Linked DNA regions of Rhinolophus ferrumequinum. The protein of the gene in region 1 interacts with the protein of each later gene in a biochemical or structural test. Links are inferred from orthologs where the notes say so. Each region holds a gene or a part of one and is shown on either strand. Other genes may lie near its edges.

Region 1 (8,377 bases):
TATGCACATGGGGTGTTTGTGTGGTGTTCTGGCAGACAAAGATCATGATCTCTATGTACGACAGGAACGGCATTCAGTAATTGGGTTGGACTTAGGTGTGTGTGTGTGTGTGTTTATTTTATGTGTATGCACCTGTGCATGTGTAATAATAGCCCTTACTTCTAAAAATAATTATTGGAATAACATTTCTTTCCTGTATATAAACATAGTCAGAATTCTCATCCAATGTCTTTTTTACATTTGATATAAGATAATGGATCAGCAATAATGGTCCAGAAGCTTTTGCTGGTAGGGCCATTCATTTGGTCCTTAATTATATGTATTATGGCTTTTCATGTATGGGGTCATGTATGGCTCTTTATTTCCTTGTGTGTATCTCTTACTTCCAATCTATTTTGTCAATTTCCGTAATGGCAGAGACTATCTTTATATCCTTTCCCTTCCTATAGCAATTCACATGGTACTGTTTACATAATCAATGTTTTCTGAACGAAGAGATTCATGACAAGTTGTCTCCCCAAATAGGAAAGAGGATCGACGAGAGGTATAGCAAAGACGCTCGACTAATACAGAGAATCTTGGAAGAGGAGGTTTCTTTCAGGTGTACTCTGGACCCAAGTCCCGTTAGCATCCCTTCGTACATGATTCCACAATTACCATCCAGTCTCTGTTATTTTTAGGACAGGGAAACTCTTTTCTTCTCTCTTCAAAATGTTCAAGTCATTTTAAACGCAAGCTCTTTGTTTGATCTTCTCTTTCTGACCTCATCCAACATTCTTCTTTCATTTTGACGTCAAATTCCTACAGTTATAATTTTCCTTCGATGCTGCCCCCCTCTATGTGATAACTTCCCCCTCCCCTCCCTGCCTAATGGGGCTTTTCCTTCCATTGGCATTTCACTAAGAAGCTCTGATAAAGACAAGGAAAGCTAAACATCAGCTTCTCCAAAAGTACCTGTATTTTAGAGAGTGATTTTTCAAATAGAAATATATTAAAAAATCAAAGGACTGAAACTGTCAGGTAAATGACAGGTGATGGTGGTCTTTCCTGGGACTCTCTCAAATCATACTAGATATGTGATTACCAACACCTACCCATGTGTCTGGCCCTGCCGGGGGACCTAATTCTGTAATCTTGGAGAAGGTGTTGATCAAATTTCCATACCTAAAAGTGGTTATAGTAATACCTGCCTCTTAGGGTTGTTTGTGGGGGAATAAATGATATAATTGATGTGAAAGTGCTTCCTAAACTATAAAGTGCTTCCTAGATTGACTATTCCTCTATCTTCCAACACTTAACTGAGAATTGTTCCCTAAGGCTGTCTCCTGTGAGAGAGGGAAGGTAAATGATAATTAGGAGTTTAACACTGGAGAAGCTGAACACAGTAATTATTCACCTGAAAATAAGGGGTTTGATAAGCAAACTCTGAAGTCCTTCCTGGTCCAAGGCCTATGATTATGAAAAAGTACTTAATTGGAGATGGTTTTATATGTTCCAGATATCTTGACTTCCCTACATGGGCAGTATACTCCTTGAAGGCAGGGACCACATCTTACAGTCTTTATGTATCTTCTATAACATTGAATACATTGCGGGACACCTAAGAGATATTTAAGGAAGGATTCATTGATATTCATTTCTCAGGTTGGAGCCTGAGGTAAGCAGCAAAAAACACACATTCAAATGAATTTATAATATAATATATGGCTCACAGATGGGTGGTATTACAAACACAAGGCCTTTTGGTAACTTCTTAGTATTAAAAAAAATTCTTGCTCACCAAGATAGGCTTTTAAAAAATCATTAAAAATTTCTGTACTTGTATATTTCAAATCTGTTATTTCCCATCCCCCTTACAGCTCTGGTCCCTGGAGAGTCTCAGGAGTATTTTCTAGGATCAGGGATGATTTCAGGCAAAAATGTGAAATAAGGAATTGTGATGCCTCACCAATGCGTATTTCTTTCTTGTTTTCAAGTCATCTCTATGCAAATGATCTATCTCATTTAGTCCTTACAGTTCTGAGATCCATAGGACAAGAGGTGTTATCTTGGTTGCTCAAATGAAATTGAGAATTTGTTTTGCAGCACTCTGAGTTTAGAAAGCCCATCGCTACAGTCCTCTTAGGATATCACATTTCTCTGGTTCTGAAGGTCAGTGAGGTCATGGACAAGCAGCATGGGCCTCACCTGAGAACAGGTTGGAAATGCAGAGTATCAGGCCCACCCCAGCCCTACTGAGTCAGAATCAGCACTTTAACAGGCGTGATTCGCGTTCACATTCAAGTTTAAGAACACTGACCCTCTATAGGCCTTCAAAGGAAGGTATGAGTAAGTCAGTATTATCTTCCACAAGACTAAACCACAAAAAGCAAACAAATGAAAAACTCTAAGGTATTTCTTTTTTAAAAGGACTCTTGGAAGGGAAATATTTAGCCCCAAAGAATGAGTGGTAGAATTCCAGACATCTGATCTCTTAGAAAGCTTTCCGGCGACCGAACGTGAAGCATCTCATCTCTTCCACTCCCATAAGAAGCTGATCTTGGTTGCAAACAGTGTCATAGAATGAAGTTTCAGCAAGAAATAGCAAGAAGGATTGATACAAGAAACTAGAGAATGATACAAACCTAAGATAGTAATTTATATGTATTTTCTTTTCATTAAATATGCAATATAATATATTTTTATTATATAGGTGATAGCTAATCAAACAACACATTAAAAAATGTATCAACTTGCTAAAAACATTAAGAGTCATTTCCACCATAATCAATTTTGGAGTTGTCATAGACTATTCCACTTCTCTTTTATACTAGTTTAATCATCTTCTACATACTGAAAGACTGAAACATTGTCTATTTAGTCAAATTTGTAGGAAGTTGTAAGGGCATTGGCTTTGCAATGTTGTTCTTCATTCAACCCATTTAAAAAATTTCCCAGCACTGCATTTGAAGTCTAACTCGTTCAATTGTTAACCTCAGACTTTAATTACATGTTGGTTCTACTTGGTGAGATTAGAAGTTTCATCAGAAACTGAATTAGTAATCCTAACATCACACATTGTAAAAGCTTTAGAGATGATCCAATAAAAATCCTTCTTTTACCAATGGGGAAACTAAAGCACAGAGGAGGGATGGGACTTGGCTCAAGTTCACTCTCACAGTTGGGGTTATTAGAGTTTTCATCTCAAAAGACTAAGTTGTAAGAAAGTCTGAACAATACCACACATTTCCCAGTGTTTTGGTTTTCATGTTCACCCACACACTTAGCACAGGACCAACCCAGGAACTCAAATTTTGGATCAAACCTTTCCGTGGGGTGCATTAGCTCACCTCATTAGCAATCTCCTGGATTTCTGGAGTGGCAGGTTTGGCTTCAGTTAAACCTCCAGGCATCATTTTGGCTAATTGCTCCTTTGCTGGGCAGGATACTGGAACTGAAGTGATCAGGTTAGCGTGGAGACTCTGGTTTTTAAAGAGGGTGTTGCTCACAAGCTCCGCCTACAAAAAGAAGGTTTTATTTTTCACAGAGGGCAAAAAGGCACAGGGACAGATGAGTATGCTCTGAGGTAAGTCTTCCTGCGTCCTCAACAGAATAGCTAACAGGAATTTGGAGGAATGAGGGGCTGGAAATGAACAACTGGGTCTGCACTAGGAGTCAAACAGGAGCAAGTATCAAACTTCCCTTCGTTCCCTTTGACAATGGTTCCATCCTGTTGCATCTGAAGTGTGAAATCTAAAGCCACGGCCAGTTTCCCAGTGTTTTAAAACCTCTCAGACAAAATTTTATTTTTTAAAAGGAGTATTTATTAATAATGTCAAGGTTGATTGTTTAGAATTTACTTGACTATAAAGAATGTAAAAGGATCTATCTGGAGAATTGTGCTGGGTATTGGTGTTTTTTGTTTATATTTCTAGAACTGTTTAAAATACAGGAAAATACGCAGAATAAAATAACAAACACTTATATTCCTATCACCCAGAATTAAAACTTTTAACATATTTGCTTTTTATCTTTTTTTTTTGTAGTTGTTTTTAACAAATAAAATATTACAGGCCGCCCCCAAGCCCCACCTCTGACTTGGTCCTCCACAGAGGGAAACTGCATTTGTGAGTTTCATGTCCTTCTAACCCATTTTTATACTTTTATTTAGTGTGTTTTTAAAAATCTACCTAAATTGTATGCCAAGCATATATTCTATATTATACTTTTTTTTCTACTTTTCTTTTTCTTTTTCTTTTTCTTTTTTATACTTTTCTTTTATAAATGGCACAAATGGTACCCTACTATATAAACTATCATATACTTTGCTATACTCCTAACGATGTATTTTGGAGATTATTCTATATTATTACTTAGCAAGGTGCTCCATTCTTTGTAATATTTGGCAGGTGCTTGACAAATTCTTGGAGATAGGCAGGTGTCTTGCTGGGTAATTTAGGGGGTGCTATGCAGATGGCTGTCCATGGAATGCCTTCACCCATGAACTGAGAAGAATAGCAAATATAGATGACACGGTGTTCACCCAACTGGTCACAATTTGTCTTAAGACTTTGGCTCAGCTCTGGCCACAGATAATTCTTGACATCTTCCTGTGAATTTCTTAAGTCAGGTCTTCTCATATCCAGCCCATTTCTCTGTTCGCCATCTAGTCCAGGTGATCCTTACCTAATCTCCCTGGGGGTCAGACATAGGGTAAGGAGCATTTCTTCTATTCTTTTTCTAAAGTCTATGCCCTGTTACTCTCAGGTATTCTGTCTTGATGCTCAGTCATTTCTTTTAAAAGCAAAAAATGCCACAAAGCAAATATTGCTTTTGTCTTTGCATTCCTACTATAATATTCTAGTTCTTCTCACGGTAGGGCAGATGCCTCTGACTCACAAGAAGAGTCACATACAAGACGTGCAGAAAAGAAAAGCACAACAACTGATATCTCTGTGTTAATTGTTTAATTAATAAACACACAATTAATTAAATACACATTTATTTTTAAGTAACTTTAAGATTGCTCTATTGACTTTTGTTGGGTATTTTTTGGTATTAGTTATTCAGGTTATTTTCATGGAACTCAACATTCTTATATGTTTTGTATTTCTTGTCTGTGAGCTCATCTTCCACAGGAATTATCTTCTATGGGAAATTTCCCTCTTGGGGGGCTGGGTTATGGGCTTTCTTCTGGGGTAAATGTCTTTACTGGACCCTATGGGGTACACAGGTCCCAAACTAGGTGTTATTTTACTGTTGGCTTAGGGCTCTGGAATCAGGAAAATACTGAGAATTTGAGCTTATCTCCAGCTTTTGGCACAGGCTTGGGGCTGTGGACTTCTCTAGCTACCTATGCTTCCACCCGTGCCTTGGACTAATGTATAGCTAGACTCACTATATACCCTACAGGAATTTACCTAAAGAAAGTGAAAATATATGTCCACACAAAGACTTGTGTACAAATATTTATAGCAGTATAATTCATAATAGCCTAAAACTGAAAATGAACCAAATGTCCACCAACTGATGAATAGATTAAAAACATTATATATAATACTCAACATAATGTTGAGTACTACTCAACAATAAAAAAGAACAAAGTGGTAATACATTCAATAGCATCATAACTTTGACTCAAAAACAAGTCAAAGTAAAAAGGCATCAAGTAAAAAAGGTCAAACATAAAAGACTATGTACTACAGTATTCCATTTATATGAAACCCTGGAAGAGACATAATTATAGTGATAAAAAACAGAGCAGAGATTGCCTGGGGCTGTGGGTGGGTGGGTGAAAGGATCAACTGCAAAAGGGACACAAGGAAATATTTTAGGGATATGGAACATTTAGTTCTTTATCTAGATTATGATAGTGGTTACACGACTACCATGAATTTAAGTATATAGTTACCAAAGTTCATCAAATTGTACACATAAAATGAGTGGACTTTACTGTATATGTTATACCCCTAAAAAGCTGGGATAAAAAAGCACCATCTTTTAAATACCTTCTTTATGTCCCTTGGTCTTGCTTTTATACTGCTTTCTCTGATGTTTTTCCATTAGAGTCTTAACTACCACTGTATTAACATATTGCCTTAAAGGAGGTTGCAAAGCCCCCACTTGAAGTGTGTGTCCAAAGGGAGGACAAAGTTTCTCCTCCTGGTCATCCTTAGGGTGAGGGAAAAGTAGGAGGTAAGGTTCATTGAAAATGAATGGGTCATGGAAAGCAGGCGAAATATTTTATACTTTACTTGTCGGGTAACAGAGGTCACTAACATTTTTGAACTGTACAGAAACCTCTTGTGCTTTAGGAAGATAAAACTAGAAGCAATGTGTAGGTTGAATTGGAGGGACAGATGCTGGAGACAGAAAGATTGATTAGAAGTTATCACAATGGAACAACGAAAAGTGAATCCTGATCTAGTGTTGTGTCAGATGGATTAGAGAGGAATGGGATGGATATGACAACTTATAAAAATAGTATTAGGAGGTAGGGAAGGACAAGATAAAAGGAGCCAGGTGGATGATGGAGCTTTTGTTTGGATGTCCAGGAAAATAATTGTACTATTAATAGAACTTGGGAATACAGGAGGAAGAGCATGTTTAAGCAAATTGTCAATATTGAAAATATAAAGATATAACTGGGAAGAGAAAACCACCTCTCTTCTTTCCAGGCAAATCCTGGGGCAAATGAAGATCTTAGCAAAACAATTTAATCAAGGCTTTACGAATATAATGTGAAAATCAGAAATAATGAGCCTTGCTATTCCAGTGGCCTTAGTTACAGAAATTTACCTTTCAATCATATTTCATAAAAAGTCTTATGAAATAAAAAATGCTACACTCAGTAAAGATGAGGATGTAAAGATAAGGAAGGAGAGAAGGCTGGAGAACATGAACACACCAGTGATCTTTGGGGCACACACCAGAAAACAATGTTGGGTAGACGAAAGTCTTGCTTGAGTCAATGTCATCGTAGTATGTTATCAATAATTAAAAATTTTGTCTTGTTACTAAGAAGCACAAGAATCTCTCCCATGAGAGTCAGATGTTACCTACCATAAAATATAATTTTTTTTCAAATATGGTCTAAAACAGAACCTTTTTGTATGATATAATTCATCTGTTTCTAAGAAGAAATTAGCTTTCCTGGTAAAATACTTAAGCAATTTTTTGATGAACTTTAATGGTTTGTTATGGAAACCTTTCCATAAAGGTTTGTTATGGAAACCTACTTATTTTCTCATAAAATAACTAGTTGCTTTATTAAAAAAAGCCTGGTTAACTGGAACTTTTTAAATTTCTTACACTGGCTATGGATGTGGTAAATTATTACTGTTCCAATAAAATGTTTAAAATTATAAAATATGTTAAACTCAATTGAATTATAATAACTGCTATCTTAAAATGATTTGCTGTTATAAACTTCTTCCTTATACACCATAAGGATCTAGTTATTCCTTTTACACTCTGTGGGTAAAAGTTGTAACCGCCTCTTTGACAAACTTTCCATATCAGCTTTTGTTTCTCTGTAGTTTGTCATACAAGGAAGCGAATCAATAAGTGGGGTAAGCTACAAGGCAGCCTTTTTCCTGAGATTGGCAGGGGGAAGAGAGGTGAATGAGAACAATAAAATATTAAAAAATAAAAATCGACTGTGCAGCAATGTGAATGTGCTGAATACCACTGTACACCTAAAATGAATAAAATTACACATTTTATGCGTGTGTGTATGTTTTTATTGTGATACAATAAAAACATAAAACTAAAAATCATGGAGGACCACGGCGGGGAAAGGCAGGAGGTTAGGCTAGCACGCTTTGTAGTCAGGAGGCTGCTGGAGTGATTTAGGTCTGAGGTCATCAACATCTGGCTTTGGCTGTGAATAATTTTCTGTGTTTTGTCATAGCTGTAGCATAGACGTCACCCTGCATTGCAAATAAGTCCTCCTCCTTAAGTCTCCTGCCTTCCAGGAAGACACTGCCACCCACCCAGCTGCTCAGGGCAGAAGCCATGAAGTCACGGCCGATTTCCTTATCTCCATACCCAATCCATCAGAAAATTCTACACAGAAAAATTCTTGCACAAAAATACTATGTGCTGTTTGTTCCCCACAAAATAATCAGAGCGGTCTTTTGTAAACACAGATTAGATGGTGTCACTCCCCTGGATAAATTCCTTTAATATCTTCCCACTGGATTAAGAAAAAAAACCAAGAAATCTAAACCCCTCACCATGGACCAGTAGGCCTTGCATAACTCAGTTTTTGCCTAACTCTCTAACCTCACTTCATGACACTTTCCCCCTTAATGCTCTCTGGATGCCCTGGTCTCATTTGGTTCCCAGAACATGCCAAGCTTCTCCCCACCTCTGCCTCTGGGCCCTTGATGTTCTT
Region 2 (8,601 bases), on another chromosome or scaffold:
GGTGCTCAAGGTTTTGAGGACCTGGATCCAAATAGGATTCCCTTTCCAATATTAAATGTAACTATTTTTGGTATTTTATACCTGTTCTTGACAATCCAATATTTATTGTTATCCAGTTCTGCTCCTTCAAAGCCGTAGCCAACCACCAGTACTCCATGATCCAGGTCTTCACTGCTGCATTTTGGTTCATAATAAATGCCTGCGAAAGTCAAGTTCAGTCCTGGTGTGATGCCCTCCAAGTGACACATGACAGTAACTCAGCTTAGCAACCACAGTAAGGGAGGCATCTCAAAATTCAGTTGGATGACAGACATCCAGATAAGACTTAAAAACAAGATTTTTTAAAAAACAATCTAGGCTCAGGATTTTGGCCCTCCTATATTACTAGCAGCAATACAAATTGCCACTATCATTTTTATAAATAACTTATCAAGAGGCATAAACAACCATTTGTTGAAACCTTGTCATTCTACTTTTAGTATGCCAGTCTAAGGAAACAGCACAGAACACAAAGTTACTTGAAGCAAGGGTTCTTTCCAGTTTTAATTGCAGTAGTAAAAATATTTGAAAATTTTAAAGGTCTAACAGTTTTTTAAAAAGTAAAATAAGTAAAGCTATACCAATCGAATTATAAAGGCATTTAATATATTTATGAAGTGCTTAAATAATGTCAAATGGAAACATCAGGCACAAATATTACATGTACGGAATATACAGCTAGTTAAATCCACACATCCAGAAATTCTACATTGAATTCTCCATTCCAAAGAAAAAATTTTGCTGTATGTCAGGGTGGTTTTCTAATTTTTCTGCCTAAATTTGTACAAAGAAAAACGCTTACCTTTTTTATAAAACTGGAAGGAGCTATAGCTTGCATCTATACCAACAGAGATGGGTCCCACACTTGCCACTGCCTTCATAAGGGCCTTCTCCCGCTTATGGATGTCCACGAAACCAGTGTCATTCGCAGCAGAAAACTCAGGCTTGTATTTGCAGGATTCATCCTTTCAAAGGTAAAAGCGAGAAACTTTATTCTGACCCACCTCCTGGGGAACATGAGTTCAACATAGTTTGTAGCTTAATGATTTCCAGGTCAAGTTTGTCTAAAGCATTCCAGGAGGTGCAATGTTATTGGTTCCTTTGAAACTATCTGGTGTCTATTCAATGAGATACAGTCAGTCTACTCGTATCTATCCATAGACCTTTTTCCCTCTTTAGAAATACTATACATAGAATGGTATATATATCTCCATGTAACACAGAGGTAGGAGCAGACATATGGTAACCATCTAAACAGAGAACTGTGCAGTTCTGACCGTTTGCACATATAGATTCTACAATCTAAAATGTGAATTATAAATACGTTATCTGTTTTCTCTAAAGTGTTCAACACTCAAAAGCAGAGCTGGTATGATAACAAGATATGAAGCGCCTTTTACCTTTGCATGATATGGGTAGGATTCCTCTGAGTCCAGGCCTCTGTTTTCCTTGACATACTGGAAGGCATTGTCCATTAGGCCACCATCGCAGCCCTCATTGCCTTGAGACCGAGAGCAGTCCACCAGGTTCTGCTCACTCAGCGAAACAAGTTTGCCAGTTTTCCGGAACATCTGTCCTTCAAGGGCACCAGTTGCACTAAAAGCCCAACAAGAACCACACTGACCCTGAAAACACAATTTTAAAGTGCTCTGTCTACAAAACAAATAGCAAGATGTTGACAACAGCTGATATATCTGAAAGCTCTTTTAAAAAATAGCAAACTGCATGTTGTTCCCCAGTCCACCATATCAAGGACACTAACTCCTTTATGGTTTTGCTCTAGGAGAGAGAGCTGCTGCACACTGTCCTACCTGATCCTTCACAGGAGTTACATAGCCCTTCTCTCTCCAATCCACAGAAGGGGGGATCTCAGCCAAGGGAGGTTCTCGGAATACTTTCCCCTTCCTGTGCTTCTGGTATTGAAGGCCATTCATCACCTGCCTGAATTCTTCACTGGTCTTCAAGGAAAAGGAAATAAATGTTATAAAGGAAGAGATTATTTTGGTAAATCAGTGAGGAGCAGAAGCACGAAACGGTAAGCCTTCTATGCTTACCATGTCACCAAAGGCATTCATTGCCATGGTGAAGCTTTGTTTCCCTTGGCTGTATTCCTGATTGTGCAGTTCAATCATTTTCATATTCTTCTCCCACACTGCTCTCCTCCATCCTTCTTCATTCTAGAGGCAAACATATACCGTATTGTCTTTATTTCTATTCAGAATCAACTCACCTTCACCAAGTGGATTTGCAGAGAGAGAGGAACAGAAACTATGGCCGGGGCTGGCTTTATACTTCTGGGAGTTGTTCTCCAGCACCCACAAAATAGGGATGAATGCCCTATTGTTCTAAGCAGTAGGTACCATGAAGATATTGCCTTGTTAAGAGCTGGCCTCAAGAAGCTACTCTCTGCTGTAAACTCCCAACAGCTTGGACCATTCTCTGCAGGGTCCCTCTGGACAGTTTCAGTCGTTATCAACCTCATTATATAGTTTCCCATGTGTTGCCATCCACTGGTTCCATTGTCCATCTAAACTGTGATCAGCTTTTGGAGCAGCTGAGGCTATTCCCAGGCAAAGGAGATTCAGGGTGATTGAAGGATTCATGTTTCAAAAACCTAGGAAGAGCAAAGGAATGAGTCTCTGATTAGACCAGTCCACCACGATGGAGTAAAAACATTTAATTTATTCTCCCAAGTAATTACACAAGGACTGTGGAGGAAGGATAAGGCTGTGGGTGGAGAAAACGGCCCTGAGACCCCATTCCAGAGCCCAGACAGGGCCAGGCCCTCCAGATGTGAGAACCAACTCAGGGCCGACCGAACCCGGCAGGGGGCGTGCCATCTGCTCCCAACTCTCCAGCACAAGCCAGTCGCTTGCAGAGGATGTTGTCGTGGACAGGGAGCGGCGGCCCCCACAGCACAGCGGACATCGACATCGACTCCTGGGACCCCCTGAACCTTCGATCCCCAAGGTGTCAGCCGCCCTGGTTCTCGAAATAGTCCCGCCACTCCAGGCTGAGGCCGGGGCGGGAGCAGGGGGGGGGGGGACGCTCACCTGCTGAGGGAGCAGCTGCCCAAGGGCTGTCAGTACGTGCTGTTCCAGGAGTCTCAGGCCGGAGTATGGCCCCCAGACCGACGATATAAGGACCTAGTATTCAACCAGTCGGCCCGGCCCCCACGGCCTGCCCGCCCCGAGATTAGCTGAGCCGGACTGTGGGCGGGGCCTTCGGGTGCTGAGACTCGGGGCGCGTGACCAGGCTGGGTCCCAACTTGTCCAAGAGCAAGTTGGACCCTGGGGGAGGCGAGCTGGGGGCCCTGGGACAGCGCTGAGAGGGTTCCCGTGCCTCCCTGGGACCCGGATCAACGAATTACCTCTAATTCATATCTTTGGTGGGTGGCTCACGAAAAGAAGCTTACAGGGAGCCCCAAGTGGATTTTCAGCGTGAGCCTGTCTGCACTTTAGTCCAGAATTTTTGGTTAAACTGTCAAGAGGGCTGAGAACACGATAATCTACTCTAGTTGTTCCTGTTTATTCCACAGTAAATGTGGAACGAAGTGGAAGAATTCAGAGCCTACAGGCAGATGTGTCCTTATTGTTTCGGGATGGGTGCATCTGGGTTTTGGAAGGATTTGGAATGGAATGGCAATGCCCAAAGCATGCCCTAATCGTGGCAAGGAAAGGGGAGGACTGGTGGTTCTCCACAGAAGGCGTGGCATTTTGTAATGCCCCTGTCCTGTCTTCCACACTCGGGGATTCAGGGATTTTTCTTCCCTCTCAAGCCTGTCTCAAAACCAACAGAAGTAAGTTATTTACAGAAAAAATGTTGAAATGGTATTGGCTGAAAGTAGAAACTGCTTTTACCTCCTCCCTCTCTGCTTCATGGATTGTTGTCTTCGTCAATATCCAATGTGCTTTTCTTGAGATTTAATTTAAGAAATTTATTTTGATGACTTTTGCTTCAATGATTTTTACAGGTGATGTCAGGATTTAAGTGACAGTTTGTGAAAACGCTTTAAATGGAGGAAAAATATATTTATATATTAAATATTAATATACATAAGAATTTAAGGAACACAAACCAGAAACATTGTATGTTGGTCCTTTTATTACAAAAAAATATTCATTGCTGAAAATACCTTCTAGAAAAAATATCATTACCTCATTTCCCTTACCATTTCACCTTTTTCCATGCATATTTTGAAGTCTTTTGATAAAAATGTGTCATGTTTCATGTGGACTTGTAAACTAATTTCTATTTAGGATTAAAATGATAAACCTTCTAGAAGCGCTATCAGTTGCATAGTTGTTGTTGTTGTTGTTTTCCTGTGGTGACATATACATAATACAAAGATGTGTATTTTAATGATTTTTAAGTGTACAATTAGTGGCATCAAGACCATTCACATTGTTGCACAACCATCACCACCATCCATCTTCAGAACTTTTTCATCTTCCCACTAAAACTCTGTGTCTATTACACAATAACAATGCATTCCTCCCTTCCCCCACCCCCTGGCAACCACTATTCTATCTTCTCTATCTATGAATTTAACTACTCTAGCTGCCTCACATTAAGTAGAATCATGCAATGTTTGCCCTTTTGCACCTGGTTATTTCACTTAAGATACCATCTTCAAGGTTCGTCCATGGTATAACGCATGAGAATTTCCTGTTTTAAAAAGGTGAGTAATACTCCATTGTGTGAATGTACCCAATTTTGTTTCTTCAGTCATCCCTGGATAGACATATGGGTTATTTACACATTTGCCTGTTTTGAATAATGTTGCTGTCCACATAGTTGTACAAATGTTTGAATTCCTGTTTTCAGTTCTTAGGGTATATAACCAGAAATGGATTTGCTGGATATGATAAGTTTATGTTTAATTTTTTTCTGTTAACCGTGGTGGCTGGACCGTTTTACATTTCTATCAGCATTGCACAGGGAGGGTTCCAATATAACATGATTAGCAAACATTTTCTCGAATTCTGTGAGTTGCCTGTCATTAAGTCTATAGCGTCCTTTGATATACAAAGTTTTTAATTTTGATAAAGTTTGTTTTATCTATTTTTTCTTTGGTTGCCTGTTCTTTTGGTGTCATAACCAAAAAGTTATTATTAAGTTCAATATCATGAGGCTATTCCTTTGTGTTTTCACCTAAAAATTTATTATATATGGTATAAGGTAAGGGTCCAACTTAAGTCTTTTGCATGTGGACATTCCATTTTTCCTGCATCGTTTGTTGAAACGATCATATTTTCCCTATTGAATAGTTCTGGCAATCCCATACAATTTTAACAAAATCAATCCATTAAAAAATTCATTTTAAAGTCTTTGAGGAAATCAAAGCTCTTCTTTCTCAAACATGACTAGAGGCTGAAGCTCTTAGCTGGTTACAAATGTATGTCGTATTGTAAATGACTGGAGGTCTAAAATTTTTAAAAAATATACCAACACAATCAATCATTGAAAAAAACCTCAGTCCATATTCTAATATATGGTTTTTCAGTTGCCCTTGGGTCACAGCTCCACAAGATTGCACACGGTGGAAAACCTGCCACGGCATGACTGCCTGCACTTTAGGCAATAGCCTCACAGGAGGCTGTGTGGCAGGTCCTGCTCCAAACAATGGCATTGAGACAGGTTAATTAGCATGTTGTTAGGCAGACAAGAAAGTCCCTAGTGGAATAAACAAAGACAGCCATATCCTGAAACTTCAGGTTCTGAGATAACTCCTTCACTCCAGGACAAAATAAAACAGCGCCTTGAGGTTAATAAATTATCTCATAAATCCCTTTTGGCCTGGCAAACAGAGCAGATTTGATAGATAGGAATGGGTTATTTTGCTAATCCCTTCAGGACGGGCTAACAGGACAAACGTGATAGATGACTTCCATTAAAAGGCACCAGCTCCCCTTCCCCAAGCAGGCAGGGGAAGGTATAAAAGTAAGAGCTTTTGCCGCAGTCACTGGGCACCCCATTCGGGACCCCCTCCCGCTTGCTCGGGAGCTCTGACCCTTTGCTTTTAATAAACTACTCTCTTTTTAAAACTCCTCACCTCTCCTTGGTTCGTGTTTCCATTCTTCGGTCTCCCGAGACATGCTCCCAGCACTCACAATAAAAACCTCCTACATCAGCATCCCCTTTGTTTCTTGGGATGTGGTACGATACACTGGAGAGAAAGCATGGACTCCTTTTCTACCAAATGTGCCCCAAATCTGGAATGAGACCAAGACATATCTAAGTGCCAGAGAAATATGGGAGAAGGCCATTTAAGCAAGAAACTGTAACATCTATTTGTACAAAATCTGTTAAATGATGAATTACAGAAAGACGGCATAGCTAACCATTTTGTTCTTATTCCTAATCTCCTGTCTCCATTTCTTTGCCAGACAATCTGGGTAAGTGCTAATTCTTAAAATGGTTACATTTTATGCAAGTGACCAATCCTCAGCTCTGCCTTTTGCTAAAATGCAGTTGGCAGATTTCCCAATTCCTATTTAAAATACAGCATCTGTGAAAGCATATTCTTGTGTGCATCTGTCTGGATTTCTTTTGCTCACTAGTAAAACAGGATGTAATTCTTTACCCCATCTCGAAGTTTCAAGCCATAGGGGAATGAACAAATTAGCGTGGTGGTATTCAAGACCCCGAGGCCATTTACCTCTCCCTAATATGACAACCCCCTCCAATTTGTTTAAATTCAGCGAGCTAGGAATTACTCTTTTAAAAAGTTACTCATTTGTAGTTTATTACTATAACGAGCCCCTTGTAATTTTAATGCCTCTGGTATTTTGGCATCTATAATAGAATTAAATAATTTGATTCTCAATTAGACCTTTGTTCACAGGCTAACTGCTCTTCTTGCTCAGCTTCTCTTGTTCTCACAGTATAATTTTGTGTTGCTGATGTGTTGTTTCTTTGTCAAGCAGGAGGAAATAACTTCAGGGTCTCGAGGAGAATTTATTAGTTTGTTTTGCAGAAGGAGGGAACGTCTCCAAGGTAGCTGTGACCAGCTGCAAGCGCCCAGGGGTCTGATGTGGAAAATCGTCATCTATGACTAAAGAAACAGCCTTCTTTCTCAGTTCTCTGAAACTCCCTTCTCCCCCTTTCCTTTTAAACTCCTCTGCTTGTTCTGCAACTTCAGAGATACTCTTAGGACAGAAGTCTGCTGTCTTCCCAGGCTGCTGGTTTCCTGAATAAAGCAAGCTTTCCTTTCCACTGACACTTGTCTCTAGAGTATTGCCTTTCTAGTGGCGAGCAGGGGTTGTTTTTTTTTTTTTTTTGAACCATTACCATTTACAATTTCATGGAAAAGAACCTTGATGTTTGTATGAAGCCGCTTATGAAATAAATTACTTTTGTATGATTCTATAACCCTGATTTTCCTTTAGGGCTGAACAGTCAGCTAATTCATTAAGTAAATCAATCAACAAGAACTAATTAAGCTCTGGTCTTGTGCTCATTGTCCTCTGCTTGGTGTTTTTTCAGCATTTCTTTAGAAACAATTTACAAGTCCCTTTCTCAAGCTTAACCTTTTCATTAAAAAATCTTGAGCTGCACCCTTCACAACTAAGATTGAAAGGACAACAACTTGACCTGGAAAAGCCCTGGAAGTACACACTGTCCCCAGTAAAAGTCCTGTTCCCCTTCCCCAATAAAATCTTAAAAAAAAAAAAAAAAAAAAACTAAGGTTACTGCAGTAATCTTGATTTTACAGCAATGGGCACAGAACATGATGGATGTATGTCAACGAAATCATGACAAGTGTCTTGGAGCAGGAGGTAACCAGGGAGGTGACCTGTAGCACTTCTTCCCGCCCTCTCATCCCCATCCCCAGGTCGGTAATCCATAAATTCTCCTTTGGAGGCCAGAGGATCTCTTCTGCAAATCTGACCTGTGCGGTCTGCCATCCACTTGACTTCTCCCCCTGGAGAGGGAGAACACCATCTGGGCGCAGGATGCTGTTACTAATAAAATCATTTAAGGGAAGTGTTGTTGCTTCCGTGGGTCAGAACTGTGTTCTATACTGAGCTCTTACATGCTATTTCATCAGGCCATGTTAGCAGTGACGCTGAAGAGAGATCAGATTCCTTATTCAGAGGGCGGGTTAGTTCTCCAAAGTGGAGGCTGGGTTTCTCAGTGGTTCCTGTGGATTTGAGGATAAGGTTTAGATGTGCCCAAGACCGCAGCTCCAGGTCTGCTTTGAGGACAATTAACCAAGGTAGGGAGGCAGCAACCACTGGGGATTATGGGGACATAGAGGACATAAGGAAAAAAAAATCATAAACCACCAAATTGGAGTCAGTAAAATTCCAAAGTTTAATCTGAGAGGATTTCCTTGGTTTTGGTTTTTGAGGTGATCATGTAGGAAATAGGGACTCAAAATTTTTAAAGGGATATTTTATGTGTGTCTTTAGAATTCATACATGAATGAATCTCATATGTCTTAATACCTGAGATTGTCACTGAGGCACTGTCATTGGAGCGAGGCTTACAAACGGGACCTTTAATTATCCTAGATAAGGTACAGAGCTTTCATATCTGAGAAATGATCAAGCAAGG

The links. The genes of interacting proteins can lie anywhere in the genome.
Region 2: the proteins of CSTA (region 1) and cathepsin L1 form a complex in vitro, tested with the Homo sapiens proteins (2 studies listed by BioGRID). The link is inferred for Rhinolophus ferrumequinum from reciprocal best matches to the Homo sapiens genes CSTA and CTSL.

The regions. Positions count from the first base shown.
Region 1 is NC_046285.1:47,138,866-47,147,242, reverse strand, and holds the start of CSTA (cystatin-A), read right to left. Parts: upstream 3,476-8,377; 5' UTR 3,396-3,475; coding exon 3,330-3,395; intron 1-3,329. UniProt on the Homo sapiens protein: This is an intracellular thiol proteinase inhibitor. Has an important role in desmosome-mediated cell-cell adhesion in the lower levels of the epidermis.
Region 2 is NC_046295.1:6,969,310-6,977,910, reverse strand, and holds the start of cathepsin L1, read right to left. Parts: upstream 3,245-8,601; 5' UTR 3,093-3,244; intron 2,654-3,092; 5' UTR 2,643-2,653; coding exon 2,517-2,642; exon of another isoform or gene 2,403-2,516; coding exon of another isoform or gene 2,400-2,402; intron 2,217-2,399; coding exon 2,094-2,216; intron 1,998-2,093; coding exon 1,851-1,997; intron 1,665-1,850; coding exon 1,440-1,664; intron 1,005-1,439; coding exon 842-1,004; intron 200-841; coding exon 82-199; intron 1-81. UniProt on the Homo sapiens protein: Thiol protease important for the overall degradation of proteins in lysosomes. Plays a critical for normal cellular functions such as general protein turnover, antigen processing and bone remodeling.